4 linked regions of the Lytechinus pictus genome follow. The protein of the gene in region 1 binds, or shares a complex with, the protein of each later gene. Links are inferred from orthologs where the notes say so. Each region holds a gene or a part of one and is shown in the gene's direction. Other genes may lie near its edges. The genes, in order: U4/U6.U5 tri-snRNP-associated protein 1-like, U6 snRNA-associated Sm-like protein LSm5, U6 snRNA-associated Sm-like protein LSm3 and U6 snRNA-associated Sm-like protein LSm2.

Evidence for each region.
Region 2: U4/U6.U5 tri-snRNP-associated protein 1-like (region 1) and U6 snRNA-associated Sm-like protein LSm5 share a complex: the UniProt entries of both Homo sapiens proteins name them as parts of the U4/U6-U5 tri-snRNP complex. The link is inferred for Lytechinus pictus from reciprocal best matches to the Homo sapiens genes SART1 and LSM5.
Region 3: U4/U6.U5 tri-snRNP-associated protein 1-like (region 1) and U6 snRNA-associated Sm-like protein LSm3 share a complex: the UniProt entries of both Homo sapiens proteins name them as parts of the U4/U6-U5 tri-snRNP complex. The link is inferred for Lytechinus pictus from reciprocal best matches to the Homo sapiens genes SART1 and LSM3.
Region 4: U4/U6.U5 tri-snRNP-associated protein 1-like (region 1) and U6 snRNA-associated Sm-like protein LSm2 share a complex: the UniProt entries of both Homo sapiens proteins name them as parts of the U4/U6-U5 tri-snRNP complex. The link is inferred for Lytechinus pictus from reciprocal best matches to the Homo sapiens genes SART1 and LSM2.

What each region holds. Positions count from the first base shown.
Region 1 is NC_087251.1:43,747,460-43,754,636, forward strand, and holds the start of U4/U6.U5 tri-snRNP-associated protein 1-like, read left to right. Parts: upstream 1-4,011; 5' UTR 4,012-4,202; coding exon 4,203-4,470; intron 4,471-7,177. UniProt on the Homo sapiens protein: Plays a role in mRNA splicing as a component of the U4/U6-U5 tri-snRNP, one of the building blocks of the spliceosome. May also bind to DNA.
Region 2 is NC_087245.1:27,095,603-27,103,670, forward strand, and holds the start of U6 snRNA-associated Sm-like protein LSm5, read left to right. Parts: upstream 1-4,957; 5' UTR 4,958-5,076; coding exon 5,077-5,119; intron 5,120-7,065; coding exon 7,066-7,161; intron 7,162-7,737; coding exon 7,738-7,765; intron 7,766-8,068. Other genes in the region: tubulin delta chain-like, read right to left, coding at 1,518-1,610, 2,633-2,721. UniProt on the Homo sapiens protein: Plays a role in pre-mRNA splicing as component of the U4/U6-U5 tri-snRNP complex that is involved in spliceosome assembly, and as component of the precatalytic spliceosome (spliceosome B complex).
Region 3 is NC_087247.1:24,245,887-24,253,486, forward strand, and holds the start of U6 snRNA-associated Sm-like protein LSm3, read left to right. Parts: upstream 1-4,336; 5' UTR 4,337-4,598; coding exon 4,599-4,619; intron 4,620-7,600. Other genes in the region: DNA repair protein complementing XP-C cells homolog, read right to left, coding at 1-1,312. UniProt on the Homo sapiens protein: Plays a role in pre-mRNA splicing as component of the U4/U6-U5 tri-snRNP complex that is involved in spliceosome assembly, and as component of the precatalytic spliceosome (spliceosome B complex).
Region 4 is NC_087259.1:10,985,578-10,993,580, forward strand, and holds the start of U6 snRNA-associated Sm-like protein LSm2, read left to right. Parts: upstream 1-4,773; coding exon 4,774-4,791; intron 4,792-8,003. UniProt on the Homo sapiens protein: Plays a role in pre-mRNA splicing as component of the U4/U6-U5 tri-snRNP complex that is involved in spliceosome assembly, and as component of the precatalytic spliceosome (spliceosome B complex).

The sequences.
Region 1 (7,177 bases):
CTCACCGAAAAGTTCACAGTTTTATATGTTTAATAGTATTTTTATGTCAAATCTATAAAATGGTTTTAAAGCGGTTTCAGATGTTTTTGCAATGGATTCTTAAACATGTTAAAGGACAAGTCCACTTCAACAAAAAGTTGACTTGAATAAAAGGAGAAAAATCCAACAAGCAAAACACTGAAAATTTCATCAAAATCGGATGTAAAATAATAAGAAAGTTATGACATTTTAAAGTTTCGCTAAATTTCATTAAACAGTTATATGCACATCCTAGTCGGTATGCAAATTGGCACACTGATGACGTCACCCACTCACTACTTCTTTTGTATTTTATTATAATTATGAAATATGAAAAATTCAAATTTTCTCCTCATTGCCATGTGAAACAAAATTATATTCCTCACTGAACATGTGGAATTACCATTATTGTAAAAGCGTATGGTTAAGTCAAGTTGGTCTTTATTGTCAAATCTGTAAAAATTGAAATATTGTATAATTCAAACAATAAAAGACAAAAGAAATAATTAGTGAAGGACATTATCGACTCTCTCATTTGCATATCGCTGAGTTGGGCATTTAACTGTTTTGTGAAAAATAAGCAAAATTCTAAAATGTCATAACTTTCTTATTTTACATCCGATTTCGATGAAATTTGCAGCGTCATGTTTGTTTGATTTGTCTCTATCGATATGATTTTGTACTCCTTGTACAGGCTTGTATACTGGAATAACCAAAATGGTTCTATATAAACGACTGTTTAGAACCCTTTCTGCTTCTTCGAAGAAAGCTTTAAAGGTCAAGTCCATCCCAGAAAATGTTAACTTGAATCAATAAAGACAAATTAAAAAAGCATGACGCTGCCAAAATTGGATGTTACTAAAAAGGTTGACATTTTAAAATTTCGCCTATCTTTCACAATATGCACAACTCAGTGTTTTTATGGAAATAAGAGAGTCGATGATGTCCCTCACTCACAATTTCTTTTTTTTTATTGTTTGAATTATACAATAAGTGTTTACAGATTTGACAATAGTGACCAACTTGACTGAACCACAAAGTGTTAAAACAATCATGGAAATTCCACGTGTTCAGGGAGGAATAAAGCTTTCTCATGACAGTTAAAGGAATATTAAATTATTCAATATTGCATAATAATGAAATTAAAAAAATAAAGAATAGTGACTAGGTATGGGATGTCATCAGTCCCCTATCCCGACCAGGATGTGCATATAATTGTTTTGAAATTAAGTGTCATAACTCTTTTATTGTACATACGATTTTGATGAAATTTTCAGTGTTATGCTTAAGTTTGATTTTGTTTCCTTTTATTCATATCAACTTTTTGTTGGGGTGGACTATACATATATTAGCAAATCAATGCAATAAATTCAAATTATAAACTAAACCAAATTTATCCAATGCAGCCGATGTTTAAAGGAAAATTAAATCTTTGAAACAAGATAGCTTGTGCGAATACAGAAGAATAAAAGAAAAGGTCAATAAAAATTTGAGAAAATTGAATAATTAATGCGAAAGTTATGATCATTTGAATATTTAGATCATTATTGTAATGTAGATCCTCCCATTAATAATGCGACAAAGATGTGTAATGTCACATGTGAACATTATCACATCTATCAGTAGATAATTTATTCTTTCAATAGAAGATTTTGAAAGGAATACATTGTAGATAAAGAGTTTGTATCACCATATGAAAGAGCAAAAAAGATAATTTGGGGGCATTTCATAGTCCATCAAAGGGAAAGTTGTTCACATGTGACATCATACATCTTTGTCGCATTGCCAATAAGAGGATCTCTATAGCATTAGTGATCGCAATATTCAAATTCTCATAAATTTCTCATTATTTTTCAGATATTTCTCAAAACTGAACAAAAAAATGAAATTACCACTGACAGACAGTATTATTAAAAATAGTGACGAAGTTATTATTCATTAAAAAGTACTATTCATTACTAAAAACTTCTGGGGCTAATGTTCCAGGCAGAGAATCTTTGGTAAAATGAAAAAAAAAGCAAAGATGGACACATTTCACGCCCCTCAAACAATTTCATTTTTTATGATCTTCCATTAGTAATAATAGATATACATTACATTGGTATCTCTATTTATGGCGACTAGCACTCAAAATACTTTCTAGGTCGGCATGGTTGGTGACAATGTATGCATTCATTGTAACCAACCATGCCGACCTAGAAAGCATACTGCTTGGAACGTTGGCCTTAATGGATATAGTGAAGGGAATAATATTTTTGGAATAAAGGAGAGACGAGGAGGAAAAGGGAAAGAGTTGAAGAGACAGAAAGGGGGAGGGGGTGGGGAGATAAAGGGGTGAAAATTAGAGAAAAGCGCGCAGATGGAAATACAGTGTAGATAAAGAGACAATGTGGGTGGGGGGGGGGGTGCGAGATTATGAGGAGAAGAGGGGGGAAAGAGACAGAAAGGGAGAGAGAGAGTCACATAATGAAATATGAGTACGATACAGGTTGTCTTTGACTAACAAAAATCTTAGTCTTTTTAACAAAAAATAAAATGAATAAAAGAATCCTTTGTTGCAAGGGCGTATAGGCTGGGGGTGCACACGCACCCTCTCGCTGAGGAGTTCAAACCGAAATTTGTACCCCTTCTGCTTTCAACAGCTGATTTTTTCAAACTTTAGTTCCACCTCTCCAAGATGTGCACCCAGCTACCACTTCAGTTCCACCTCACCGCTCACCGGGATGTGCACCCCCATGCTCAACCAGCCCTTGTGTTAGCAGAAATTATGCAATGCTATACCTACCCAAAAAAAATATCATTCAAATAAATCCACCTTAAAAATGATTTATAAAAAGAATATTCATTCCCTTTATATACTAATTAAAAAATAATCAAATAAATCATCATATCATAAAATAATCATATTGTAACTATATCCAGTCAGCAAAATCACATCACTCTTATCTGGAAAGTTCAATGGTTGCCACTCCCGGTTGCCACTAAATGAATCTTCAAAGTCCTTCTATTGGTCTCTCATTATTGTCAATATAACTTGCCCTAGTTATAATAAGTAATTGATTCATACCAACCATCAGTTTAAGAAAATGGGGGGGGGGGGCAGCTTCACTCAAGTGGGACAGAAATTGTGCGATTTACTTTCACATTATAGTTTGAAATCACAGGCACTGTCACGGGGAACCTAAAGATAATTATTTACCCATATAATCTCCCCCGAGAGGACTTATCATAAAATTAAAAAGTATTTGATCTGACCAGGGTATTTCCTTATTCGACCAAAGAAATCTCCATGATCTAACCAGGCTCATCAAAAAAATATTTTTTTTTACGTTTCTTACCCTTTTAAACATGCCCAAGTTAATGGTTTGATGAGCCTTGGAATTAATTCAGCCCTATGTCAGAGGGAAATTGTTGGGGGCACATTACATTACTAATCTTTCTGAATTAGATATTGAATCGAAACCGGCCCCGGCTAAAAAAATGAAAATAGCCCTAATTCACAATTTTATCGTTACCAGATTCAGTTATAATTCAATTCATAACATTAAAACACTGATTTATCCTGAATACAATACAATTAATAATCTGTCCTTTTCCATAAACAAATGAAAAGATAACTTAAAAAAAAACTTATATTAAATGTAAACAATTGACACAAATTTATGTAGATCTGCATGAGGAGGACCATCCGACCTTTCTGAATAAAAGAGATGGATTTGTCTACAAAATATATGGGAACTTGAGACACTGCACTTCAGGGCGAGGAACCATAGGCCTTTTGGGGCTATGCCCCCTAAAAAACGGTAAAGATAAAAAAACAACGAAAACTTGAAATAGGAAGGAGCGAGTAATTACGTTATATCTTTTAATTGTTTTAATGTCAAAATCTACCCCAAAATTAGATTTTTGTAGTTAAAAATATGACAATTTTTGTTCACTCGCTTCGCTCATATAATTTGAAACCTTTTAGGCCTAAAATTGACAACACTCGCCAAACCAAATCGAATCACAATCAGCAACCGGCCGAAAGTTTTCCGAAAGAGCGCCAGCTAGAGTCTAGTCTATAACGCTCGCTGAAAATATACGATTGGAAAACGCATTTCATTTTGCGAATAAATTCTCATCAACGTTTATATATCTAATTTCTTTGGATTTTCTGGTGTACTTTATCGATTTCATTCAACATGGGGTCGTCTAAAAAACACAAGGAAAAGGACAAGGATCGGGAAAGGAAACACAAGCATAAAGACCGTGATAAGGACCGAGATAGAGAGCGGAAACACCGGAGCAAACACAGCCACAAACACAGGGATAAGGACAGGGATCGTCGTGTCGTTGAGAAAGACGTCGAAGCCGGGGAAATTTCTTCACCAGAACAGAAAAATGACCGAAAACGCGGGAGGAGTCTTAGCCCATCCCACATAAAACTTGAGAAAGATGTTGAATTACAAGGTATCTTGACAATAATAGGCCTATTTTAGGTCAATCTTTCAAAATTGTGACAAACTTTTACATCACAAAAATGCACATATGGGACTGAACTTTAGCATATGATTTGCACCATCACCATGCACCAGCGAATATAATAGTAATAGTAATACCGGTATTCCTGAACAATTGCCATGACCATGCATGCCCATGTCATGATGAGACCTCTAAATTAAGGTTTTGATCATAAAGAAATACATTGTCATGACTCATGGATAAAGTAGACTTAACCAGTAGAGGCGCACGGCCAATATGGGAGACTCTCTCCAATAGCAATAGGGGAGACAATCTCCCACATTGGAGACTTGCTTTGCAAAAGGACAAAAGAAACAACACCAACAAAAGCATGATTTTTTCAACCAAAAATTTTGTCTCACTGAGGTCAGAAGCCCATTTGTTTTGTGTGTGATTGACAACAAAAATCCTTATCAAAACAAAAGTAGACGGTGAATTTTTAAAGTAGAAGGTGAAAAAGGGTAATTTTTCATGAGGAATCTCCTTATCACATTTTTATTTGCCGCCAAGGTAATCCTTTTGCAGCAAATGTAAACAAAGGAAATTGGTCGCCAAAACTGGAGACCGTCTCTGAAATTGGATACCCAAATTCTTTACAAAAGTCTCTGATATTGGAGATAATCTCCCACATTGGAGACAGTCTCCAATATTGGCCGTGCGCCTCTACTGTTAACTTCTTGACTTAAAGTACATAATGCATAACAAAGTCTCAAAAGACTCAATGCTCAAAATCAAAATTTTTTTTTTTTAATTCATCAGGTTTTTTTTGTACTAAAAATTTAAAAGTCTAACTTCTCTAACTCTAAGTAAAACAGAGACCAGAGTCAGAAATTTTTGATTGTCAGACTGAGAGGAGAAGAGAGGCCTTCCCCTTTTAAAAACGAAACCTGGAATTCCAGTGGAATTAACTCTAAAACTAAAAGTTCCTGGAATTTTACAAAATATCTCAGAATTTTACAAATGTTCTCCAGTCTTTCATAGATGTTATGTACTTCTTTTCTAAAGTATGCAAAAAAGATGAAATATAGGGCCCAGTGCTGTAATGAGTCAAAAATATTGAGGGGGCAAAATATGACCAAAGACGTATCGGGGAAAAGAATTGCTAGTGAAGCGAGTGAGCGAAAATTTTGACATTTTCATTACAAAGATCTAACTTTGAGATAGATTTTGACATAATGTTCAGAAAATAATATAATTCCTGGAAATGATAACTTCCCGAAATGATCTTGGAAAAGGGCAAAACTTCCCGGAATTTCCTGGATTACGGGAAGAGTGGAAGCCTTGAGGAAGGCTGACGTTAGAGCCTAAGTTAGGCTCAGCTCAGTCAGACTCAGTAAGATCCCTTAGAGCTTCGCAGAGGCTCATGGCATGGCCAATATTGGAATCAATTGGAAGATTTACTTCCATAATGGTGTACTAGTATTGATTCTTATTATATTGATTTTATTTGACCTTTATATTGGCTTAATTTGACAAATTGACCTTATTATATTGACTTTATTTGACTTTTATATTGACCAACGAACGTAGAGGGCAGCGACACAGCAGTGTTGCTTTTAGGAAGGTCCACTCGATACGCGCATACAATTGAAGTTTGCGAACAAGGCATGCCAACAAAACCATGCATCAACACAATACAATCTCGGATAAATAGCGAAATATAGACAAAAATGACAGATTATCACAAAAATACATTTAACTAATAGAAAAACAAAAGTATGGCAAGTTCCCTCAAGTCTGTGCACATGCGTACATGTATCTGCGCGATTCTAGTAAAAGAAGATATGCAAGGAACACAGACTTTACACATGCAATACATAGACAGATATTCATTGAAAAATCTGACTCAAATGGTGGGAAAATAATGAATTTAGGGCGTTTCATGTGACGACCTCAAAATGCAGCCTTTCTCATCAAAATCCCTGAATCGTGTGCAAAGTGAATGGGTGCGCAGACATGGGGTACCATTTTTTTTTTCAATCTGAAAATAACTGCCCGAGGTTTTTATATAAGAAATTCCTATATTTCTTTCAAATTTTTATGAGATATTTGTTACACTTACTCATAATAATATAAGGAACATTATTAAATGAAAGATTTTGTGAAATAAGAAGTTCATGTTAAATCTTAACTCAAATTGTTAGGTGCGCAGACTTTGGGACCACCATCGTATTAATCAAATTCGTTCAATCAATCTTGCCTTGGCGTTGCTAGTGTATTGGCCAGATTCGATCACTGCCTGATGGATTGCCAAGAGCTAGCCCGGATTTGTGGATACATGTACAGCATACTTATTTTTCATATTTTCAGACTCTTGATGGATTGCAAAGAGCTAGCCTGGATTTGTGGATATAACATACTTATTTCATATTTTCAGACTCCAATCTGCATTGAAAGTGAAAATTAAGATTCTAACCTTGAACATTCATCGTTGCTCAACTGCTTTAGTGCCACAACAATGACAGACCAAGTCCATGTCATTCAAGTCCATATGTAGCTAAGTCAAATCTACCAAAAAAGTGCACTGAGAGAAAACGGTCACAAAATCTTAGCCAAGAGGATCTTTCTAATACATGTAGCAACAATTCCGTGTGTTGCTGCCCTCTACGTCCGTTGATATTGATTTTATTTGACCTTTTTACATGTAAGTTGTAAT
Region 2 (8,068 bases), on another chromosome or scaffold:
TTGTTTTTTATTGTTTGAATTATACAATATTTCATTTTTTATAGATTTGACAATAAGAACCAACATGACTCAACCATATAGTATTAGACAATGCTAATTCCACATGTTCAGGGAGGAATTAATCGTTGTATCACTTGACAAAGAGGAGAAAATACGAATATTTCATATTGCATATAATAAAATACAAAAGAAATAAAGAGTGGATGACGTCATAGTCTCCTCATTGGCATACCAGCCATGATGTGCATATAACTGTTTTGTGAAATTAAAGGGATCGTTTAGCTTTGTGAGGAGCTGATTTAAAAAATTCTCAAACTGAGTTGAAACGTGCGTATGAGTGCCAGTACCGTAAGCAACGGACTATAAACCGCACCCGTGGATTAACCGCACCCCTAACTTTGGACTAAAAAATAAAAAAAATAAAAAAAATCCTCACATTATATTTGAGGTACGGAGAAACAAAAACTAAGTTAAAGATTTCAAAGTATCCAAAGAGATTACCGGTATGCGGAAATCTGCTGTTCTTCTTGATCAATTCATCTACAAATGTTTGCAAGGTCCCGACAATATTGGCCACTTACACACTCACTCACCTCACAGTCACAGTGTACACACACACAGCACTGCCGTTCTTGTACATTGCAAACTACGATACGGTACCAGTACATCTTATCAAATAATGATCTGTGTCTTTCCCGCCGTAGGAGGAAGAAACATTCACATTTCTTGCATCACAAACTCACAATCACTTTCAGAATTTGTCTAGCATTCGATGTCTTTGGATACGGGATTACAGGAAGGTTCAAGAAACAAAGAAATTTGCATTGTGCCGTCTCTCTCGTTGCGTGGTGTACATGGTATCTTATGAAAAGCAAACAGGAAAGAAAAAATAAGCTGGCGCGAAACGGGACTTTGGAGGGGATCGAGGGTTAAAATGAATAGCGCCAGCTTAAGTCGCACTGTAACCACAATACAACGCAAGCTAGCTCGAGCTCAGCTAACTCAACTCTCGCGCGCTCGCTCAGCTCAGCTGTGACAAAATATTACCGAGTATGCTTGGCTTCTCTTTGAACTTAGCCAGGGAACTTCGCTGCTTTGAACCGAGAATAAAGTCAAAATTAGTGTCATGAAGGTGGGTGCGTTTGTTATAATCGCTTCTCATTACCCGCGGCTCATACCCCTCTAAACGACATTGCCCTGGGCGGCTACGCCCGGCCACTCGATGTGTTATGAACTGGCAGATGTCTTTTGTTTGGGAGGGGTTACGACGGGCTGGCTCAGACCCGTCACCGTGGATAAACCGCACCCCCGACTTTTGCTTCTATCCCGCCGAGAAAAAGGTGCGGTTAATAGACGGTTACTTACGGTATTTGTCCTCAAAACCTTGTCCTTTAAAATGAATGAAAAAAGCGAAGATGAGGCTGGGATAGACATACATACGGGCAGAGTGCCTCCTGGTGATTATCTTCAGTAGGTGAAAGCATTAACACTGGGATGTTTTTACAAATGAAACTTACTGTTTACTGTTTCTCAAAAGTTTAGCGATCACTTTCTTTTCTGTATCGACATGAAGAGAGGGAAGCTTCTGATCTCTCCGGTAAAAAGTACATCTGCAAATGAATGATAATGACAACCAAAAAAAAATACAGACTGGTGATGTACATAGTTTTCTTAAATGTGAGTATGACGATCGAAAAAAAAAATTATACCAATGGGGATTGTAATACATCAATGGCAATTCAGTCTGCATTCAAGCTTCCATCGATGTTTAAATGTAGTCAAACTTGCAAAAAAAAACAATATTTACTGCCAAATTGTGTAACATGTTGTGCTTTATTTCCTTGATCTAATCAATTTGGGAATTACTTTTTTTAGAGTACTACAATCAAATACAACTAAAGATAACCTAATTGTTAATGTTTTGTTTTGTTTTACACTAGGCTTCATCCTGAAATACATTTTTTCCAAAAAAAAGATCAACATACACAGCAAACATCAGCCTCAAGTAGACTTAAATACTAAAGATGGTAATAAGTTTTCATTAGGTGATTTCGAGATCAGTGTTTGTGCTGGTTTTAGTGCTAATGTTGGAACCACAATTCAGGGGCCCTTTTCCCTATTAAAATGACTTACAGCTGTTGTACTTTGTCATCATGGCAACTAGCTAACTACCATGGTAACAAGGCTTAGAAGCCAATCACTATCAAGGTTTCTATGAGGGTAGTTGCCATAATTGTAAAGTTACCATAGTTGATAATCTTTATGGAACAGGCGCCAGATTGCCTTCACTAGCTCCAACATTTATCCAATTACATTACTGGTATGTGCTTGATAAAGCGGTTCGTAAGTTGTAAGTGACTTTACGAATGACTGGTGACCTCTTATTGTGGTAAGTGATACCCAACATTGTCTTAGTTCCTAAAAAGAGTCCCAAGTCATTCTAAAGCCGCTCGCAAGTTACGAACAGCTCTATGAAACAACCACCATACAGCCCGACACATAGGGAGAATTATCCGAAGGCGAGTTTCATTTTTATTCAGGTGCTCTGCCACCTCTGCCTAGATGTAAAATACCCAACACCAACACCCAAAGGTCAACACCGAACTTGGGATCACCCATTGCATTGTCTTACTTTGCTTCATCATCCTGTTGGACAAGCTGCCAGAACTGTTGGCCAAGTTGGTTGCCACACTGGCCAACATGAAGAAACACAGTCGACATCCTGGGTAATTAATTGCACTGAAACAAACAAAAAACAACATCATGATAAGAATGTAATGGTTTCACACCTTCACAGTACACCACGTAGTATTCTTTTGCGGGTATGTGTTGGTCCTGAAAAAAAACCACCCAAACTCAATGTTTCAACAAGTGTGTTCTTGTATTTTCTTCACCATGGAAACCTTCAGAAGGTAAAACTTCATGATAAACTGATATACACATCTACCTGGTGGTGGACTCTATCTTGACATTGGATTAGGCAGAAATAAAGGCAACCTGCACATCCACACTTGATCCAAGAATCCAAGCCCAGAAACATGGTTCATGAAAAAAAAATGCATATCAGGTAAAACACAATTTTTGTTTTTAATTTCACTACTTGAAAAATCTTAGGTGGGGCAGTAACCCCTGACCCCTCCCCCCGCCCCCCATGTCCATGAGATTATTCCATGGAAGATTATGCATTAGACTACCTCATCCAATTCTCCAACAGTGATCGTGGATTGTCATTAATGATGCAGTTAACACTGCTCTGAGTAATCTAATAGAATCTCAGGTATCCCATAAAGTGCACTAAAACACTGTTCCTGCTCACAGGCCTGATCCCCATCAACACTCTGATTGAGCAGAACTGCCGACTTCTTATTTGGCAACTCATCATCCTCAGTTTCAGCAGATAATACAGTGCTTTGGAAAGCAGATATAAATTCTTTGAAACGCTCAAAGGAGCCCTGGAAAATTAAAAAGAAAGGAGTCCCTCAAAATCCCCATATTTCCATAAAATTGTTTAAAGCTCATCCAATATTGCAGATTTTTAATAGGCAGTAGGTTACAAGTGAAAAGTAGCCTAAAAAATAAAATGTTATTTTTTTTGCTTGAATGAGATCTTCCTGAATGAGATTACCCATATTAGCTGAGCCTTACCTGCCTGACAAGTCCAGGGTGGTTGGTAATGAAAAATACTACAGCAGTAAAACAATGAATAGGTTGGAGATTTTAGCACACTTGGGAACAATCAACCGGAGACAAATAATATCAACTCAAACTTTGTCTAAAATTCATGTTAAAAAAAAGTCCAATTATTTTATCTTACGTAAAAGTTAAAGGGGGTCCACCGGTCAATACTAGTCCTATTTCAGTCACGGCAGACATCAACAGATTTCCTATGCTTGGGCTAAGTTCATTTTCAAGCTACTTTTTACTAAAGTTAGTTCCTGTTTCCAAAGCTAAAACTCTTTAAGAATTCAAGTCTTGCACCGTTTTAGCATTCACTTCACAGACACTTTTTAAATTCTCTATTGGCCTAACGTTAGTCCTAAATCGCTGATAATTTGTCAAAAGCCTTTCAACAAAGGAGCCTTTGTCAAAAATCGGTGAATCAAAACAGAAGTCTGGACAAACGACACATTTACAATTTTTACAAAATTTGATCGTGTGCTATCCAGAGTTTAATCCAGATCCAGCACTTGTGCACCAACTTTTGACAATGACCTCTAGTCTAACTAAGTCTAAAGTCTAATAATCAACTAATGTCCATTGATTGGTAGAAAGTGTCTGCAAAGCTTCAGCTTCGATGCTAAAATACACTATTGAATCATTAGAATCCTTCCATCAGCTGACCCCTGGGGCATTTTCATAAAATGATCATACTCACAAGGGACAATCACACGCGGAGAAGACGAATGGCATGCAGAGCTCTCCAGACCTTGAGCCTGAGTGCACTGCGACCTGGGCTGGTGAGCTGATGATAACTTGTCTTTGGTTTAGCTATAAAGCCTAACTAAGCCAAGGCGGGCTAAGCTAAAAAATAAAAGACCCTTGTAAAAAGTTATTGTTAAAAACTGGGACATCTAACGGTAGGCCTAACGTTAGATCAAAATAAAGTTGGTCGACAAAATGTATCTCTCCTCGACGATTTCTTTCAATCGAATCCCGCGCGGAGTACGGTAACGTTTCTCAGGAGTTTCTTGAGTTTTGATTAAGGTCGAATTCGCAATGTGGTCTTGTTTTTTCTAACGTAGACTTATTCAAGGGCGCTCTATAGGCCAAGCAAATCGAATTCCAAACGGGCCAGAAGCAATAAGAAAAAATATTGGAAGTATAGTAACATAAATTGATTTAATATTATTTTTATTTAGGGATAAAAAAATATTAAAGGGTATGTTTTTCATATTTTTTTAAATTATAAGACATTTCGACACAACTTTAAGGGAAAAAAATGAAAAACATCATCAACGACTTCTAAGAGACAAATTAATCTGGAAATTGAGTTGACTGGAAGTTGCTATCGCATATCGGTGAACGACAACGATTTGACGGGGTTGTGGATCAAAATAAAATTAAAATCACGACAGTATGACTACCGGTACTTCCAACCCATCTCACCTTTTACCTCTTGGTAAGACCCTTGTTTTCTATGAACGTGGTGTTATCTAAGACTAAGTAACGTAATAAGAGCAACTTCAGATGCCCGTGGTCATGCTTTGCTCAGCTCAGCTCATCGGCTGACTCCCCGCTCTGACCCGGTTGCCTGCCGGCACGGCTTGGCAGTACGGAGGCCACGCGCGGCATACCGTTTTGAACTTTTGGCTCTACCACTACCATTGTTGTATGTCCGGACAAGTTGTGCGTCCGGACGATCAATTTTAGAAAGTCATTTGGAAAAATTCACGAGCGAAGTTTCATCAAATTTTAGTACAAGATGTTAGCAGGGGCGGATCCAGCTTTTTATAAAGGGGGGGGTTGGGGTGGTATGCGAGGGAGCGTAGCGACCGAGTCCAAGCGAGCGAGGGTGTGGGAGGGGGGTGTCCCCCTCCCACAGTAGGGAAAAATTTTGAAAATCTGTGTGTGAAAATGGCGTTTTCTTGCATTACAAGTTTTAAAAAAAAGATAAGATTTTAAAAAATGGTCCCCGGATTTTTTTTTTTTTTTGGGGGGGGGTTGCAACCCCCCAACCCCCCCTCTAGATCCGCTTCTGGTTAGGAAATATTATAGAGAACAAAATAGAGGATGATTAAAACTATTGAATTCATAATTTTAATGTATTAAATCCAAAGTCAGACTCAAACTCAAAGACAAAAAAGAAGTCTTCAAAAATATAAAGTGTCCGGACACGTGACTCCCAACCTACTATTAAAGTGCTACCGCCACAAAGATAGTTGTTCTGACTCTGAGACCGAGCTATCCCTTCTGCCAGACGGTATCTAAAGTTACTATCTCTCATGGGCACTTTGGGCAGAAATCTGTCCCCAAAGGTAGGGGGAACAGGGGCTGGAAACTTTGACAAGCAAAAAAATAATAATCACCCAAAATATAAGGTCATTAAAAAAAAAATTACAAGCAAAAAAGAGGTTTTCACCCAAAATGTATGAGGTCATTTAGTCCAAAATATATGTATTATTTCGATTGGGAATGATGTATTTTTCTCCATGAAAGACCAAAAATAGTAGGGGGGACATTTGATATTGTGTCCCCCTACTATTTTTGGTAGGGGGGATGCATCCCCCTGTCCCCCCTGGAGTTTACGCCCATGCTAGCTCTACCATGTCTATAATATACTGCCTAACTTGTTAGAGCCGAGAGTGGAGGATGAATGAGAAAGTGACTAAAAAGAAAAAATTCCTCTCCCCGATGTAGTCAAGACAAGCCTGAAGCTGAGAGGGGTGGGGTGCGTGAGTTTATTTTTAGTGGACTGACTGGAAAATAGCAAGTGGGTAACCCAGCCGCTACTGAATTTGTCAGATATCAGACCTAGGGGTCGAGTAGGAAAAGTGATTTGATTGAGCTTATACTTTTCATTGCCGAAATATTGTCCTCCCAAAAAATGAAAATTATAAATGGGGAAGTTTTTCATTATGTGTGTCACAATCTTGTAACTTATTTAGAGTTCTATTAATTTGCTTCTCGAGTTTCATTGATATGTTTCTTGATAGTTTTGTTTATCGTTAACTGGTTGTTACATTTTAATCTTATTGATAAGTTTCTTTAGTTTAGAAATGTGTTGCACTAGTTTAAATAACCTATAACTATTTGATGCCAAAAGAAAAAGATTCTGCATGTTGCATTTGAATATATTGTAACTAAAACTACATGTCAGTCATAAAACATTGTGTTTTGTTCTGACGAAGTAAATTGAAAGGATCATGGGTTAGACTGTTCTAGCTTGTCATTCTTCTTTAATGATCAAATCCAGAGACCTATTGAGTTGAGTATTAAAACATTTACTATTAAGATTTCTCCTCTTTTTGGAGGCAGCCTGATTGAAATTTTGAACACAACTCTGCCAATAAAGAGACTGATTCTGTGGTCTAAATCATATTCTTGCTCTTTGATTTTATCTTTCAGAACTTGTTGACAAATGTATTGGCTCCCGGATTCACATTGTTATGAAGACAGACAAGGAGATTGTTGGAACTCTGCTTGGCTTTGATGACTTTGTCAGTATCCTTGTTGAATATTAATAAATCAACTTGTGACAGAAATCATTGGTTAAAATGTCATTTAAAAAAGGGAATAGAATTCTTGTGTTGGAGTGAAAAAAAAAAGTCTAATGAGGAAAATAAATGTTTGTTGTAATAATAAACTAGTCTACAGTAATGATCTCTTTTGATTACATTTTCATGTAAATTTGTGAGTTAAAGAATCAATATTAACCTTCTGTAGTTAATGTAATTTTCAATATCATGATTCAAAATGCCTTCACACTCCAGCCAGTTAGCTTTAGTTTAGGTCTTTACTTTGATACTGGCCCATGCGGTCACTATCGATTTATTCTACTTATTAAATTTGTTTGTTGTTGCTAATACTACTAAGTATTATTATTGCATAAAAGTGGTGGTAGTAGTAGTATCATCATTTTCATTACCGTATAATTATCATCATATTATTATTGGTACTGCTGATTTTCTACCATTGTTTTGTTCGATTACTATTCACTGAATTGTGATATTTTAAAGTTGTGTAGAATGTAGATTCCCATGATTTGGTTTAAGCCTTGACACCATGCTTCCTCAACAGACATGGTACTTGAAGATGTTGTAGAATTGTAAGTACTGGGTATATCTTTCTTTTGTGCATTCAATTTGAAGAAACTGCCTGTATTGTAAATGATTATTGTGATGTCGCATTTCATTCATTCCTCACATCTCTAAAGGAGAACAAGGACATTAACCAACAGTGGTTTTGTAGAATAAACCATTCTTACCAGGTTCAATGGGTACCAGAGATGGATACAAGGGGTATGATGGTATCTTTTGACAAGTTTAGTCTTACAAGTCACAGGTCATTTAATATCCAATAACTCTTCCAGGGGGGGAACCAAGGTTTTCAAAATACCCAATAACCCATA
Region 3 (7,600 bases), on another chromosome or scaffold:
GCTTAACTTTGGCAATCCTCTTCTTCGGCTGCTTCTTTGCTTTCTCAGGAGGACTTTCTTCAAAATCACTTTCATCTTTTTCCAAAATGTCACTTTCATTGAAGGTAGTAGACTTGACCACAGACCTTGCATCACTTACATGTAGCTTTCTCTTCCTCAGGTTTTTAATTTTTGAAAGGTGTTTCGAATCAGGACTGCTACACTCATCAAAATAATCTGATGTAACCACTGGTGATGTTACCACTGGTTTTGCAACAGTCTTTTTTCGAGGTGTTAATTCCCCATGATCGCTTTCTATATCAACATCATCGAAATACTGTGATGTTATCACTGGTTTTACATCAGCCTCTTTTTCCTGAGGTGAGACTTCCTCATGAGCACCTCCTGGCTCATCATCTTCAAAATACTGTGATCTAATCACTGATTTCACATTCGTCTTTTCTACCTGAGGGATTAATTCCTTTTGATTATTTTCCACCTCTACATCATCAAACAAGGATTGATTGTTCCCTGGTTGAGAGCCCTGGAAATCTGGTATATCATCTAAATCATCAAACATTGACTTCGTTGTAGGCTGAGAAGGTATTACAAGAGAAGAGTCAGTCCCATCTGTTTTCATCTCCTTCAATTTTGATTTTTGAGATGTGGCACTTATAATTTCAGATTTATCAGGGATTGTCTTTAATGACGAAGGTTTTGATTCACCCAAATCTGATTCATCTTCTGAAGAAGAACCACTGTCACTTAATGAAAGAAACTGTTCTTGTGAAGCTTGGCAGACGTACCTTTCCTCAAAGATTTTCTCACTTTGTCTAACAGGAACTACTTTACGTTCCTTAGTTACTTGTTTGCTTTTATCTTTGGATTTCATTTTTCCATGATTTTTCTGCCTTGTATTTGATGTTCTCTTCTGCAATGGAGGTGTCGCTTCAAAGTCATCTTCATCTTCTTCATCATTATATTCTGAATCCAAACTAACGTAATCATCATCTTCTGATTCATTCTCCTCAATGCCTTCTGTTCTCTTTACATCTTCCTGCATAGTTGACATTTTCTTGACAGCTTGTAATTTTGCACTCCTACCTCTCCTTGGTCCATTCTGACTGATTTCAACAGGTGCTACCCTTTCATCCTGGCTTAAAGTGTTCTGACTGTCTTTAACCTTTGACCTCTCTTTGACCTTTGTATCTTTTTCATTTGTTTTTACTTGACTCTTGACTTGACCTCTGACCTTTAGATTAGGCTCAGTGTTTGTTTTCCTGCTGAGTTCACTGGATGTCTTCACTGGACCAGATGACTTGCGTTTGGCCATGGTGCTCTTAAGAGAACAGCTGTTCAGGTCTAAAGATCAAGAAAGGAGACACACTAAAATTGTTCAAAGATAGGATAGATAAGTTTTAACAATAAACTTCAAGCAACAATTAAATAAAGTGATTTTTCAGAGTATAAGTAGACTAAAATTCCAATAGCTCTCTGAAGTTTTGTTAAAAATAAAATTCCCATATAATGGTTGGTCAACTATTCTGGTTTACTACATTATATATACAAACTTAGCTTCAGTCTCTGTTTCGCTGGTTGGTCCTTTGGATTAAACTTGCTTCATTCTTCACTACACCTCATTTAAGTAAAAAAAGTACAAAAATGTTTTTTAAACATTTTGAAATTGTCTGACATCCACGCCCGCACTGTACTTGTTAGACTTTTAATCATGCATCAAGTGTTTACGACCGGGAGACTACCTACCCTCCCGTACAGATGATGATGATGAAAACTCCTCCCTCCAGACAGATATTGGATTTCAGCTGTCTAGCATATCTCATGTACATACTAATTCCAATTAGTAGTGGGCTATACATGGGTCAAAAATACTTTTTTTGTAATTTCAATATGGCAACAGTTTTTTTTTAGTCCTTGTAATGTATCTCAACATGAAATGACAATATTTTTTGTCTCGGGTCCAAGAAAAGTGTGCCGGGCCAAAATCCCAAATGGCCGCCAAAACCCCCCAAAATCACAGTTTTGGCCACAACTTCTTTATTTGGTGGTCTTTTTATCTGGTTTTGGTGTCTATTCATATGTTTTTGGGGGCAGGCAATTTGATTTTCCTATAAATAGTACTTATAAGCCATTATTTGTAGAGTTAAAAGGTAATTATACCTAAATTTTCCCATTTTTATAGCATTTTTTTCAGCCAAAAAGTAGGTTTTATCGTCTTGGGGTTCTTGGATATTAGATAGTACGAGGTCAACAATAGCAAGCAGCTTTATAGAGCTATACTGCTTTTATTCCTTTACTTTGAGTTTTACGGATATTTGTGAAATATATCTTATTAAATAAAAAATGTCAATTATCCATAGGGGCTATACAGTAGACAATGTACTGTACATACTGCACTGCATAAATGCATTGGCCACCATGACAAGGCCTGTATAAACTATAGTGTCATAGAAATGAGCTCTTAGGTTTAGAATTAGATGCCTCAGAAATTGAAGATATGTTTTGTCTCAGAAATTGAGGACATGTTTGATCAAATGCTAATTCAGGGGGCGGAGAAAGGTAATTAACCCCACATCATGGCATTTACACTGTAGCTATTCTGGGCCCCATGCATAAAAATTTACAATTATGTTAACTTAACTTAATGGTAACTTGCATGGAATCCTTGATTCTGATTGGCTGTTGATCAGCATTACCATGATAGTTACCTGACCCCATAAACATAGGCCAGTTAGACACCACAACCAGGTTTAAAAAAAGCCTCCAAATGAAGAAGATATGGCTAAAAATGTGATGTACATATATCATGTATATGATATATTTATGTGCAATTTACGTTGCTGGTTTCATCATGTACATCAGCTGACAAGCAATCAAATTCACAATTCACAATCTAATTTTAAACCTTAGGAGCTCATTTCTATGACTATAGTTTATATACAGGCCTTGTCATATGTCATGGTGGTCAATGCATGGATATATGCAGTGTAGTATGCACAGTGCATTGTATACCATATACCCCCTATATATATATATATACATGTATATAGCCTATGGATAAATGACATTTTCTTTTATTTGATAAGATAGGCTATATTTCGCAAATATCCATAAACCCCAATTTAGAGGAATAAAAGCAATATAGCTATATAAGCTGCCTGCTACTGTTCAACTGGTATCGTATAATATCCAAGAACCATTTTGGAATTTGGCCCGGCACACTTTCTTGGACCCGAGACCAAAAATATTGTCATTTCATGTTCAGATAAGGTAAAAGGAACACAAAAAAACTGTTGCCACAGTAAAAACAAAAATCATCCATTTATAGCCCACTCCTATTCCAATGTGAAGACTGCATGCTCATATGTTTTATTTTCATGTTACTCAGAAATCAATCATTGACGTTTACTGCAATTTACAAGTACGCTCATTACATAGGAAGCCGAACGCACGCATGAAAAATAAGTAAATACTAAAAACTTGTAAAGGTTTATGATGTCAATTAACGGACACATGCATCCTGCAAGCATGCACACTTTATAATTTATATCGCTTGCGCTCAAAACAAACACACATTTTATCGGTTGCACTGGCAGTACTTTTTATATACACAGGGGGATTTGGGAAAGACAGCACTGCACTGCCGGCCCCGGGCTGCAGCTATCATGGCTCTGGTTTTTGTTAGCAAGTTAGTCTAGATCTACCTGTGTCAGTGTAACATAACATGGTAACGTTAGATTATTAAATCCTGATATTGTCTTGATGTTGTTAATGTTATTATACCTTTTTTTCATTTAATCATGTTGTTAATGGAGTTCAATGGACTCGAGTCTAACTAAACTTAATTAAAGACTAAAGTAATATAATAATTATACTTAGAATAGATAAACTAAATTCAAACTAGTGCCGTACCCTGTCTGAACTAAAACTAAAAGTCTTAAATTAGTTAAATGAAAAGTCATGACATGAAATTGAAAGTCTGATTCTATTACTTGTCTAATTTTCTAACCCCTGGCCCATTATATCATAACCTTGTTCATTGAATGAGTGCCCTGGCCCTGGTTTTAACCGTTAATCATGTTAATCCTTCCTTTTAGTTTTAAACTTACCGTCATGTACCGTTCTCGATCTTGATGCTTAGTTTTATTTTCAGCTGTTTTCACTAAAAATTTAGCTTTAAGTGGCAGGAAAACCTCTGAATATTGGCCTTGGAATTGGTGTAATTTTGTCAGTTGGACTTTGCACGCGATGAGAGCGCGAGTGGTGTTGAATCCCCCGTGCCGTGGCGTGGTGTTCTATGACTATGATTGTGTAAACAACGAGCATGTGGTGTTGTTGTTGCATAATTCATTTTGCTAGTCTTGTGGAATTCTCTCCTGGTCATTTCAAAGTTAATAGACAACCATTATCATTATCAATTACCATAAAATTAACAATTGAATCAATATCTATGATAAAGTTTAATAGATAAAAAATATTGAATTCCTTCTTTGCTTTTCTTTTTAAAATTTGGTGATCCAAATGAAATATTTTCCAAAAGAAAGAGGTTTGCCTTGGAGTAGATCTAAGCCTGAGCTGAGGTCAACGCGCGTGGAGCAACTATGGCGGAAGAATCTGAAGTTGTGAGTATTAGAAGTATAATTAATTAATTTATTTATTTATTTGAGTGGATAAATGTTATATCGGTTGTGATTATATTAGTGCCGGCGTTTGAGTGTCAAGTTTTGATGTTCGACGCGGATGCGGACTTGACTAATAGACTTGCGTCGAAAAGTGGCAGTACTGTATATCATTACCAGTACGAGCGCATGCGATTCTTATGCACACGTAGTCCAATTGGGATTATCACGGTTTTGTGAAATTGTATTTCGAATAGCACAGGAGATAAATCCCGGGGTAGGCCTACCGCAGATTAGTTGTTCGACAGTGCGAGATGAGTTTTTTTTTTTATTTATTTCATGTGTTTGCTGGTGATTGACAGAAGATGTCTCTGAGTGGGCTGAATTTCCTTTTGGATGAAGTTACATGTATTTTTGAGACAGTTGAATAAAATTGAGTTGAGCTGCATGCTGAGCTGAGTTGAGATGAAAATGAACTTTGTTTTGATTTTGAAAATTAAGTTTATTTTTTTAAATATTAATATTTAAAATAACGTTATTAACGTTAACTAAAGGCAAGTTTAATGCTCCCTACCACTTTTTGAAAAAAAAAAATGATTTCCTCTATCAGTTTTTTTTCTCGGACTCGGGGGCTCCATTTTCATTAAAAAAAAAAATTTCAGGGGCTCCATTACCATATTTGCCTTTCGGGGGCTACTTTTTTCATTTCGGGGGCTCCACTTTTTTTAAATATGTTGTATGTATTGTGCTACCCAGGACAATTCACCTATCCTGCTTGTTTACAAATTAATTTAATGTTTAACAATAACATTGTTTATTTAATTGAATTATGTTTCTTCATTGTTATTAATTGTTAAATGATTATTTAATTTCTTGTTGTTCATTTAGATCTAATGTTTATTTTTATATCTTGTGTATTCATATAAATGTACCTTCTAGTTCTAAAGTTTACAATTTTGTCCATCAAATTGAATAGGATGAAGTTCATCAAATTTTGAACAGAATTTGTACTTCGAGTAATCGTTTTCATAAATTTTAATTTATTTGATAAAAACTCATTGAAAATTATTTTATGAAATATAGAATGCAGCGCAGCCTCACAGCTAATGTCAACATACCAACTTATTTCACAAGCTAAGCTACACCAGTGCAGCGCAGCCACTGAACACAGCACAGCTCACAGTCAATCATCACCGCATATGTGCCAATAATACGGTACATGTATACTCAGGCACTGACTGTTACTCACCAAAAATCCCTGCTGAAAATCCTAATTTCGGAATCCACGGCATATTTCCAGAGCACCTGAAAGCTTAGTTCAGATTTAAGAACTGGGGTCGCTGAAAATTACGCTAAAATTAAAAAAAAAACTGATTTTGTTCAGAGTTCACGATCTTATTTTCTTGTAAATTTAGGATGTTACCTTCAAAATGCAATAAAAAGAAAATTTTCACTATCATAGTTACGGAAGGACCTCGTGCGTTCCAGCCGGCTTAGGCCGGGGACGCTAAGCTAGCAGCGCAGCATGCGGGCCTAACCAGTATATCACTCGGCAATTATTTCGGGGGCAACTTCCAGATTTTATGCCGCCCCCGAAAGCATGATTTTGGGTGCTTTCGGGGGTGACTTTAGGCATTACCAGGGCGAATTTGCCTGCCGCCCCCGTGTGTTTTTTTCCCTGTGACAAAAAGTTATGTGTAAAAAAAATGAAAATAAAAGTAAATAGCAGAAATCAGTTATCAAGAACCATCAAAAATGGAAATTTACGCATTACATAGCATAAGGGGCAGCTGCTCATATATGATGTCACAAATCAAAAACTTTTCAGTTTTGTAAATTTCTTAATCTTCAATCAGTTCAATGATGGATTTTTCTCACACCTTCACCAACATTTTTTTTTATTTCATGAAGGCATGTGATACAGAACAACAGTAGTGGAAACTGACTGAGAAAGATCAATAGAAAATAAGCCAAATATTGCCACATTCTCAAAGCTTAATGGGTACATGTACTCCGGGCTGAAAATGAATATATTTAAATAAATAGAGCAAAATTTCATCAAAATCTGATAAAAAATAAAAAATGATTGATTTTAAAGTTTGGTAATATTTTTTAAAAAACAATGTGTACTTTGTCATGATTATTCATTAGGTGGGCTTTCCTTTAAAAAAAAAAATCTTATTTCATGAAATCATAATTACCGGTATTTAATATGTTCATACCTGTGTGAATGATAAGAAAAAAAGTTGCAGCAATGAATATCTAATGCATTAATCCTAACTAGGCCGGGCTTTTATGGCTGTTCTGTGGCGGGGGGGGGGGGGGGGGGTGATTCAACCCCCCCCCCCCCTGAGATCTCGGCCGCCGATCGCGCGAGCGCCACAAAAATTTGCACGCTGGTAGTGTGCGATGTAATCTACAAGGCTGTATGGTAAAATTTTCCAAAATAATGAGATTTTATTTTATATGAATTAATTATGCTTATTTATGCATAAATCATACTTTTTGCTCTAATTCACTAAATAAAACTCCTAGAATGCTAATTTTTGGTAAAAATATTCTTTGTAGCATTCTTAACAATGGCAATTGAAAAAAACTTTGGTTTGGAAATCAATTTCTTATGTATTTTATTGTTTTATGAATTTCTTATGTATTTCTTTGTTTTTCAACCTTTTGTTTTTCTTTGTTTTTTTTCCACCAGATTATTGCACAACCTTTTTGAAGCATAATTATGCTAAAATCAATTGCTTTCAGCTGTTTAAAGTAAAAATAATCATATCTTCATGAATAAGATGAGAAAACTCAATTTGCATTGACTTTGTACACAAAATCACGTTTTGGAACAATTTTTGGTCTGACATGCACTTACAAAATGTTGCATAATTTTGGAACCGCGTACCCGGGCATCGTAAATTTGGTCTTAAAAAGATGCGCGAGACTTAAAAGTATAAACTCTGCGAGTGACGCGGTCAAAAAAATTCGCG
Region 4 (8,003 bases), on another chromosome or scaffold:
AAGTGATTGGTGCGCAGACACGAGGCGCTGGCCACTATCATAATGTTAAATCTGAAATTGAAAATCATAACTGGCTGAGTCTCAGATTTTTTCCAAGACCAAGAAAATCAGTTTCACATTCGATCACATATCTCTCTCATTTACTTACAACAATATATGGAACAATATCAACTGAAAGATTTTGTGAAATAAAAACAAAATTCATGTTAAATCTTAACACAAATCGTAAGGTCAATATGATGTATGTGCGCAGACTTGCACCGGCATGGCAGCCACACATCCACGCCCGGCTAGTCGCGGCCGGCAGGCAGCGCTGAGGGGCAGTAACAGGATGTCCTGACGAACTCTAACGTTACAGCTAGCCCCGCAGCTAGCTGCGAGCCGCGCCATTTAACAAACTACGAAAAGAAAATCATAGAAAATTGTTAACTTACCTGTAGAGCCTACTGCGAATGTCTTAGCTTTCAAGTCATTGTCCAAATCTGGTCCGTGTGATTTCAGTGGTTGAATTATTATTAAAACGGCCTTCTTTACCCTTCTTTATCGCACTAGCACTCGATAAAAGTGCGGTGCAAATTAACGGCGCGGCGAAGATGGCTCTTTCAAATTCAAATTAGATTGGCGGTTTGCGTTTGGCGCCTGGCGGCGCTGGTTAATTTGCATAATTATACGGACGATAGCGATCAGTGGCACTCAGTGCGCATGCGCAGGCCCGCCCGCGCCCGGTGATTGAAGGAATAACGAAGGGGGGGGGGGGGTCTAAAGCAAGAAAGAAGTTTTAAAATAGAAATACGAACTTCTTAACATACAAATTTCTTCTTGTTTGGTTTTGGTTGGCAACCAGTCAAGAAATGACGATTTTGCCTCTGCTTTTGCATGGAGCTTTTTTTTTCTTTGAAAGTTTAAGAATGAATTAGCTTAATATTTGTTCTTTATTTCTATTTTATTTATTTTCTTTTTATTTGAAAGATAAAGATAGCCTTGCTTAACATGGCAAGGTTGTAAACTAGCAATAAATATGCGCGTTATAAATAGAAAAAAATAGCTATTCTATTCACCTTCAAAAATATTTTTAAAATATCAGTGAGTTAAAAAAAGAAAAATACATTAATTTTTATGTGATTTGTAAAAATAGTGTAAAATAGTCCTCTTTAACTTAAATTAGAAAAAAGGGATTAAATAGGAAGAAATTTTTTTCTCGCAACAAATATCTAGGATAACAATTTTTTTAATGTAAACTAGAAAATTTCACTGAGAATAACATGTTTCGATTTAAGTTATATGGTGATATCGAACCACATACTTTAATGAAACTTTTCAAGGTGGAAATATTAAAATTAACATAAAGAATAATTAAGTTAGTTATTATGTAGATATTTTTTTCCTCTTATCCTCAATCGAGCTGTGTATAGGATGGATAAATGCATGGCATTTATTGTGGTAAAAGGCTGAATTACATGAATTTGTACAGAGCAAAATTTCAGTAAACAAATAAGCAACAAAAAAATAACAAAGTATACTAATGTATAATATTGGAAAGGGGATACAAAAAGAAAAGTATACAGGGAGGGGGGGGGGGAGTAATGTCAAAAGCAGGAATGGGCAAAGGTTGGGAGTAGGCTAAATGTACTATATACCTTTAACATAATGAACATTTTCACATAAATATATATTTAACCAATGTTGAATGAATAACAATACATGTAGATTAAAGAGTGGATTGTATGAAATAATACTTGCTTTTTTTTTAGAAAAGTAACGCTTTGTTGATGGTAACAATAATAATAGTTATAGGAAACACATTCATGAATGATAATCATAAAGAATTATCTCAAAAGGAATTAAAAACAAAGATAAGAGGACTTTGAAGTAATATGATCTGTACAAAAAATATAAATATTAATGTAAAGTGGGTTACAGCTATATTGAGCCAGTGACTTGTCGGATAAGAAATTTGAATGATTACTGCAGATATCAACAATTACAAAAATATTTCAAAAGTCAGTTTAAGAGAAGCGACAAATAAAACAACAAAGGTATGAAAACATAGTTCTTATATAATATATATATATATATATATATAAACTCTGTTGGAAATAAGTACAATGCATTACCACTATGCCTCTAATATACATATATATATATGTATATATTATATATGTATATACGGGTTCTTACTAGAATCAACTGGTAAGTCCTATTGGTTCTAACTGGTATCATTTGGTTTGATATTCCAGTATGGTTAATGGGTTTCAAGTGGGTTATGGGTGGCCTATGGGTTCCAACTGGTATAATCTGTTCCAGTTTGGTTTATGGGTTTTAACTGAAATCAGCTGGTAGATATATACTGGTAATGCCTATTGGTTCTAACTGGTATCAATTTATTGGTTTGATATTCCAGTATGGTAAATGGGTTTCAAGTGGGTTATGGGAGGTCTATGGGTTCCAACTGGTAAAATATGTCCCAGTTTAATTGATTTATGGGTTTTAACTGGAATCAACTGGTAGTATACCAGTAATGTATGTTGATTTTAACTGGTATCAATTGGTTTGATATTCCAGTATGGTTAATGGGTTTCAAGTGGGTTATGGGAGGTCTATGGGTTCCAACTGGTAAAATATGTTCCAGTTTGGTTTATGGGTTTTAACTGGAATCAACTGGTAGTATACCAGTAATGTATGCTGGTTTAACTGGTATCAATTGGTTTGAAATTCCAGTATGGTTAATGGGTTTCAAGTGGGTTATGGGAGGTCTATGGGTTCCAACTGGTATAATCTGCTTCAGTATGGTTTATGGCTTTTAACTGGAATCAGCTGGTAGATATGCCAGTAATGCCTATATTGGTTCTAACTGGTATCCATTGGTTTGATATTCCAGTATGGTTAATGGGTTTCAAGTGGGGTTATGGGAGGTCTATGGGTTCCAACTGGAACACTCTGATCCAGTTTGGTTTATGGGTTTTAACTGGAATCAACTGGTAGGTATACCAGTAATGCATGTTGGTTCTAACTGGTATCAATTGGTTTAATGATATACCAGTATGGTTTATGGGTTTAAGGTGGCATTAACTGGTATATACACCCATTGGGTTTCTATGGGTTCCAACTGGCATCAAATGGTCCAGTTTGGCTAATGGGTTTTAAACTGGAATCTATTGGTAGATAAACCAGAAAGGCCTATTGGTTTTAACTGGTATTAACTGGTGTACTAATTTATACCAGTATAGTTAATTGGTTTCAACTGGAATAAACTTGTATGTTTTCAGCATGTCCAGTTGGGACAATGGGTTTCAACTGGAATATACTGGCATGGTGGGAGTTTACCAGTTGTGCCAATTGGTTTCAACTGGTACCAGTTGACTCCAGTTGAAACCAGTTAAAATTTCAACTGGTTTCAACTGGTTTTTTTACCTGGGCGGACACTATTGTGATTCCGGACGCGCATATAAATGCGTTCGAAAACAATTTCGAACCGTAAGACTTCCGCAATTCATTTTCACAGATCAATACATAGAACAAGATTGCAAAAACAAGGCGAAAAAAATCAAATTTCTACCTTATTTATCTCTAAAATGACAGAAAATGCTTAAAATATCATATAACATAGTTTTGCATTAACAATTGAATGAATTGATATATTTTCTAACGGAAATATGGGCCTGATTTGCCTAATTTCAATCTCGTCGGCTCCTTCGATCGAATGATGATCAGGTGAGGTGTATTGTGGGTGATCGTCGACGGCTAGTTCTCAAGGTACCGTGCGCGAGGTTTACCGTGAGTAGAGCCGTCGACGATCGGCTGCGCATCGATAAAACTTGATGAGCGTCACGATACGAACGAGCACTGGAAAGTGCCATGAAACATGCAGCTAACCAAAAAATAAAAAATAAATTAAGTTATCAAACACGAATTTATTACCAACATCTGCTCAGATTCGATATAAAAAAAGCAAACAAAAAGTTAGAATTTATTCATGATATGATATAAGAAGAAATAAATCACTGAAATTTATTCTCACATCATTATAATCAAGGATATCTTTACCCGTCCGGAGCGCGTCCGGAATCATGATGTAATTTGTCGCGCACGAAAATAATAGTTTTTCGTGGAGGGGTATGCGGCAAGTGCGATGCAAAGAAAATGGTTCGTAAATATAAAATAATTTTCATTATATTTGGAATAGCAAGTGCGAATTTTTCTTGATTGTATTTTCTCTAGTTGTCATTTTTAAAGCACTGAAATAAAGGTGTCCGGCAATAGGATACACTACCATACATGGGTAAAAATATTGGTTGGCAACGTTTGGCAAAAAATAAGTGTTGATGGATTTGAAATGACGAATAAATTAATATGAATAAGAAAAGTAGAAGAGAGTTCACTTACACTTGTTGACATCGCCATCTTTGATCCTTTTAATTGCAACCTAGTTACGTGACGCGTATAGAGGGCGGCAAAATCATGAGCGGTGCTAGATTAAAAAGTGCTAAAATGTCCCGCTTCAACCACTGAACTAGAAATACATAGAGAAAACATATTGCATTTTGCCTTCTACGGCGCGGCGCGTTCTCGAACAATTGACCTAGCAAAATGGCGGCGGTCATGTGACTTATCGAGTTCGCCAGCGATGTTTTGCTTGGGTGTACACGGCTTCCACGTATTTCTAGTTCAGTGGTTGAAGCGGGACATTTTAGCACTTTTTAATCTAGCAACGCTCATGATTTTGCCGCCCTCTATACGCGTCACGTAACTAGGTTGCAATTAAAAGGATCAAAGATGGCGATGTCAACAAGTGTAAGTGAACTCTCTTCTACTTTTCTTATTCATATTAATTTATTCGTCATTTCAAATCCATGAACACTTATTTTTTGCCAAACGTTGCCAACCAATATTTTTACCCATGTACATAAGTTTTAAAGCTAGAATCTAAACATAACTAGCAGTTTGGCGCATTTCTATAGTTGCATTTTCCCTCGGTGTGTAGGATAGTATAGGACACAGTGCCAGGCGTTAGGGGAGTGACCATACGTACAGTATAAGTCTTTCACTCCCCAGACGCCTCCAGGCTATCCAGGACCAGGTCCAGGAGTCCAGCTAGAGACGACGAGATGAGCGATACGTAGGAACGTCCTAGGACCATTCTTCCGAGATAGGAAGATTGAAGACAAATCAGCGCTTTCCGTTTCACGAAGGCAATTTTGTCTTCCAAGTCCGCGACATCGTTTGATATCGATAGTATTCGGAATCGGAGTCTTCATCGTCACCTGAACTTGAACTTTGTCTGAACCTTTTATTTCGGAATGGCGACTTTTCATAAAATCATATATTTTAATAAAAGGAGATCAAATAATGTTTTAGTTATTACTGATTGTAGAATCGATGTATGGAGCTTACTTTATGAGGTAAAAAGAGAAAAAACTTTCAAGATTCACAAACATAACTAACTGGATAAAATCGAAATCATTATTTCCCTTATTTAGAACACGGTGTCCATTTAGAGACACCTTTCATTGATATTTCAATGAAAGAGACCCTTGTCCGACCTAAAAATTGATTTAACTAAGTAATTTCGACATTTTATTAGTCAGGGCTCCACACTAACCCTTTTTTTCTACTGGTCCAACCTATTCATGTCGGACCAGTAGATACCCAGTTTTTCAATTTTTTACTGGTCCGAACCTAAAATCTACTGGTCCCAAAAAATAAAGAAAACATTAAAAAAAGGCGTGAGTTTATTTTGCTGTCCTTTCTTGTTACCCCCCCCCCAAAAAAAAAAATGAAGGAATGAATGAATGAAAGACAAAAAGAAAGAAAGGAAGAAAGAATAAAAGAAAGGAAGGAAGGAAGAAAAAAGCAAAGGTAAAGAAAGGATAGATGTGAAGGAAGGAAAAAAAGAAAGAAAGAAGGAAAGGAAGGAAAGAAAGAACAAAAATAAAGAAAGAACGAAAGAAAAAAAGGAAGGAAAGAAAGAAAGAAAGAAAGAAAAAAAAAAGAAGGAAAGAAATATGCAAGCAATAAAGAAAGAAAAAATAAAAGACAGAAAGTAATGAAAGAAGGAAAGAAGCAATAAAACAAGAAAGAAAGGGTAAAAGGAGAGATGGAAAGAAGGAAAAAAGGAAGAATAAAAGAAACGAAGGAAGAAAAAAGTAAAGAAAAAATGTGAAGGAAGGAAAAAAAAACCAAAGAAGGAAAGGAAGGAAAGAAAGAACAAAAGAAAAAAAGAATGAAGGAAAGAAGGAAAGAAATGAAGCAAGCAATATAGAAAGAAAGAACAAAAGACAAAGTAATGAAAGAAAGAAGGAAAGAAGGAATAAAAAAAGAAAGAAAGGGTAAAAGGAGAGATGGAAAGAAGGAAAACAGAAAGAAAGGATTGAAAGAAGGAAGAAATCAAGAAAAGGGAAAATGATAGAAGGAAAAAGGAATGTTGGGAAGGAATAAAGAAGGAAGGAAGCAAGCAAGCAATATATAAAAAAAAAAAAAAAAAAGTAAAAGAATAAATGCAAGGAAGAACAAAAAAGAAAGACCAAACTTCAAAGAAAGAAAGGAAAGGAAGCAAGCAGTAAATAAAAGGAAGAAAGAAAAGGTAAAAGGATAGATGGAACAAAGGGGAAAAAGAAAGAACAAAAGACAAAGAAGAAAGGAAGGAATGAAAGAGAAAGGGCTGAAAGAAGGAATAAAAACAAGAAAGGGTAAAGAAAGGATGGATGGAATGAGGAAAGAAAGTTAGTAACAAAGAATGAAGGAAAGAAAGGGGAAAAGAAGGAAGGAAATGAAGAAAGAAAGAAGAGATAAATATAGGATGGATGGACTCAAGAATTAAAGAAAGAAGGAAATCAAAAAAGAAAGAAAAAGAAAGAGCATTAGAAATAGAGAAAAATATTAACAGGACAGAAAGAAAGAAAGAACAAAAGACAAAGAAAAAGGGAAAATTAAAAAAGAAAGACAGTAAAAGAAGAGAGGGAAGAAACAAAGAAAGATTGAAAAGAAAGAAGGAAAGAAAGATTGAAAGAAAACAAAGGAAGAAAGCTAAAACTATCATCATAAATAAATTATCAGTTTCTTTTTGGCTCAATTAAAATATACTAGTACTAGCTACGAAAGAAACCAAGTGGATCAACACACACACAAATGCATATGTGGGGCTATCATGTATTCAGACGATATCACTCGAAACCCGATCTCTTTGAACTAAAACAGAAGTGAAAATTTCTCCTTTTACTGCTTACAAATGACAGAGTTACCCCAATTTTGGCAAATTTTTAGGAAATATGGACATTATAAGAGCTTTTCATTAGTGTGAAATGTGAATTTTGACAGTTCTGTGAGAGATATCTGCCAGAGGTTAGCCAAGCTTCGTTCGTGCAGCCAGTAGGAAATTTACCATGTGGGCTGTGTGGCTGGCTAGCCACGTGTACACTGTATGTTACCCTATCAAAAATTGCATGCGATTCATTCTGTGTGTGTTCTGTGTGTGAATGCCAGAATTTAACGGGAGGAAAATGGTTCGCAATTTGAGTCAATTTAAGTTGGACTAGGGAATTTGACCATTTCTGAAAAAGTTACTGGCCCAACAATAGTTTTTATTACTGTTTATGTCGGACCCATAAATCTTGCTATTTTTGGAAAAATTACTGGCCCGACAATGATATTTTTTACTGGTCATGTCGGACCAGTAAATCTTGCTATTTCTGAAAATCTACTGGTCCGACAGTGATTTTTACCGGTCTGGGACCGTCGGACCGGCGCTAGTGTCGAGCCCTGTATTAGTTCAATATTCTGTATTTTTATAGAATACTAAATATATAATGATAAATTTGCAAATTATGCGTTAATATGTTATTTGTTGAGGTAAAAATAGGGTTTGAATGGTGTAAACAAAATCAACAGTGTCTGATTGTATGAGACTAAAAAGGAAAATATGAGAGGCTGCGTGTGAAAAATCTAATTTATTTATTTTATTTGTCAGATATAATGCAAGAAATACAAATGTGAGTGTTTAGACTTAG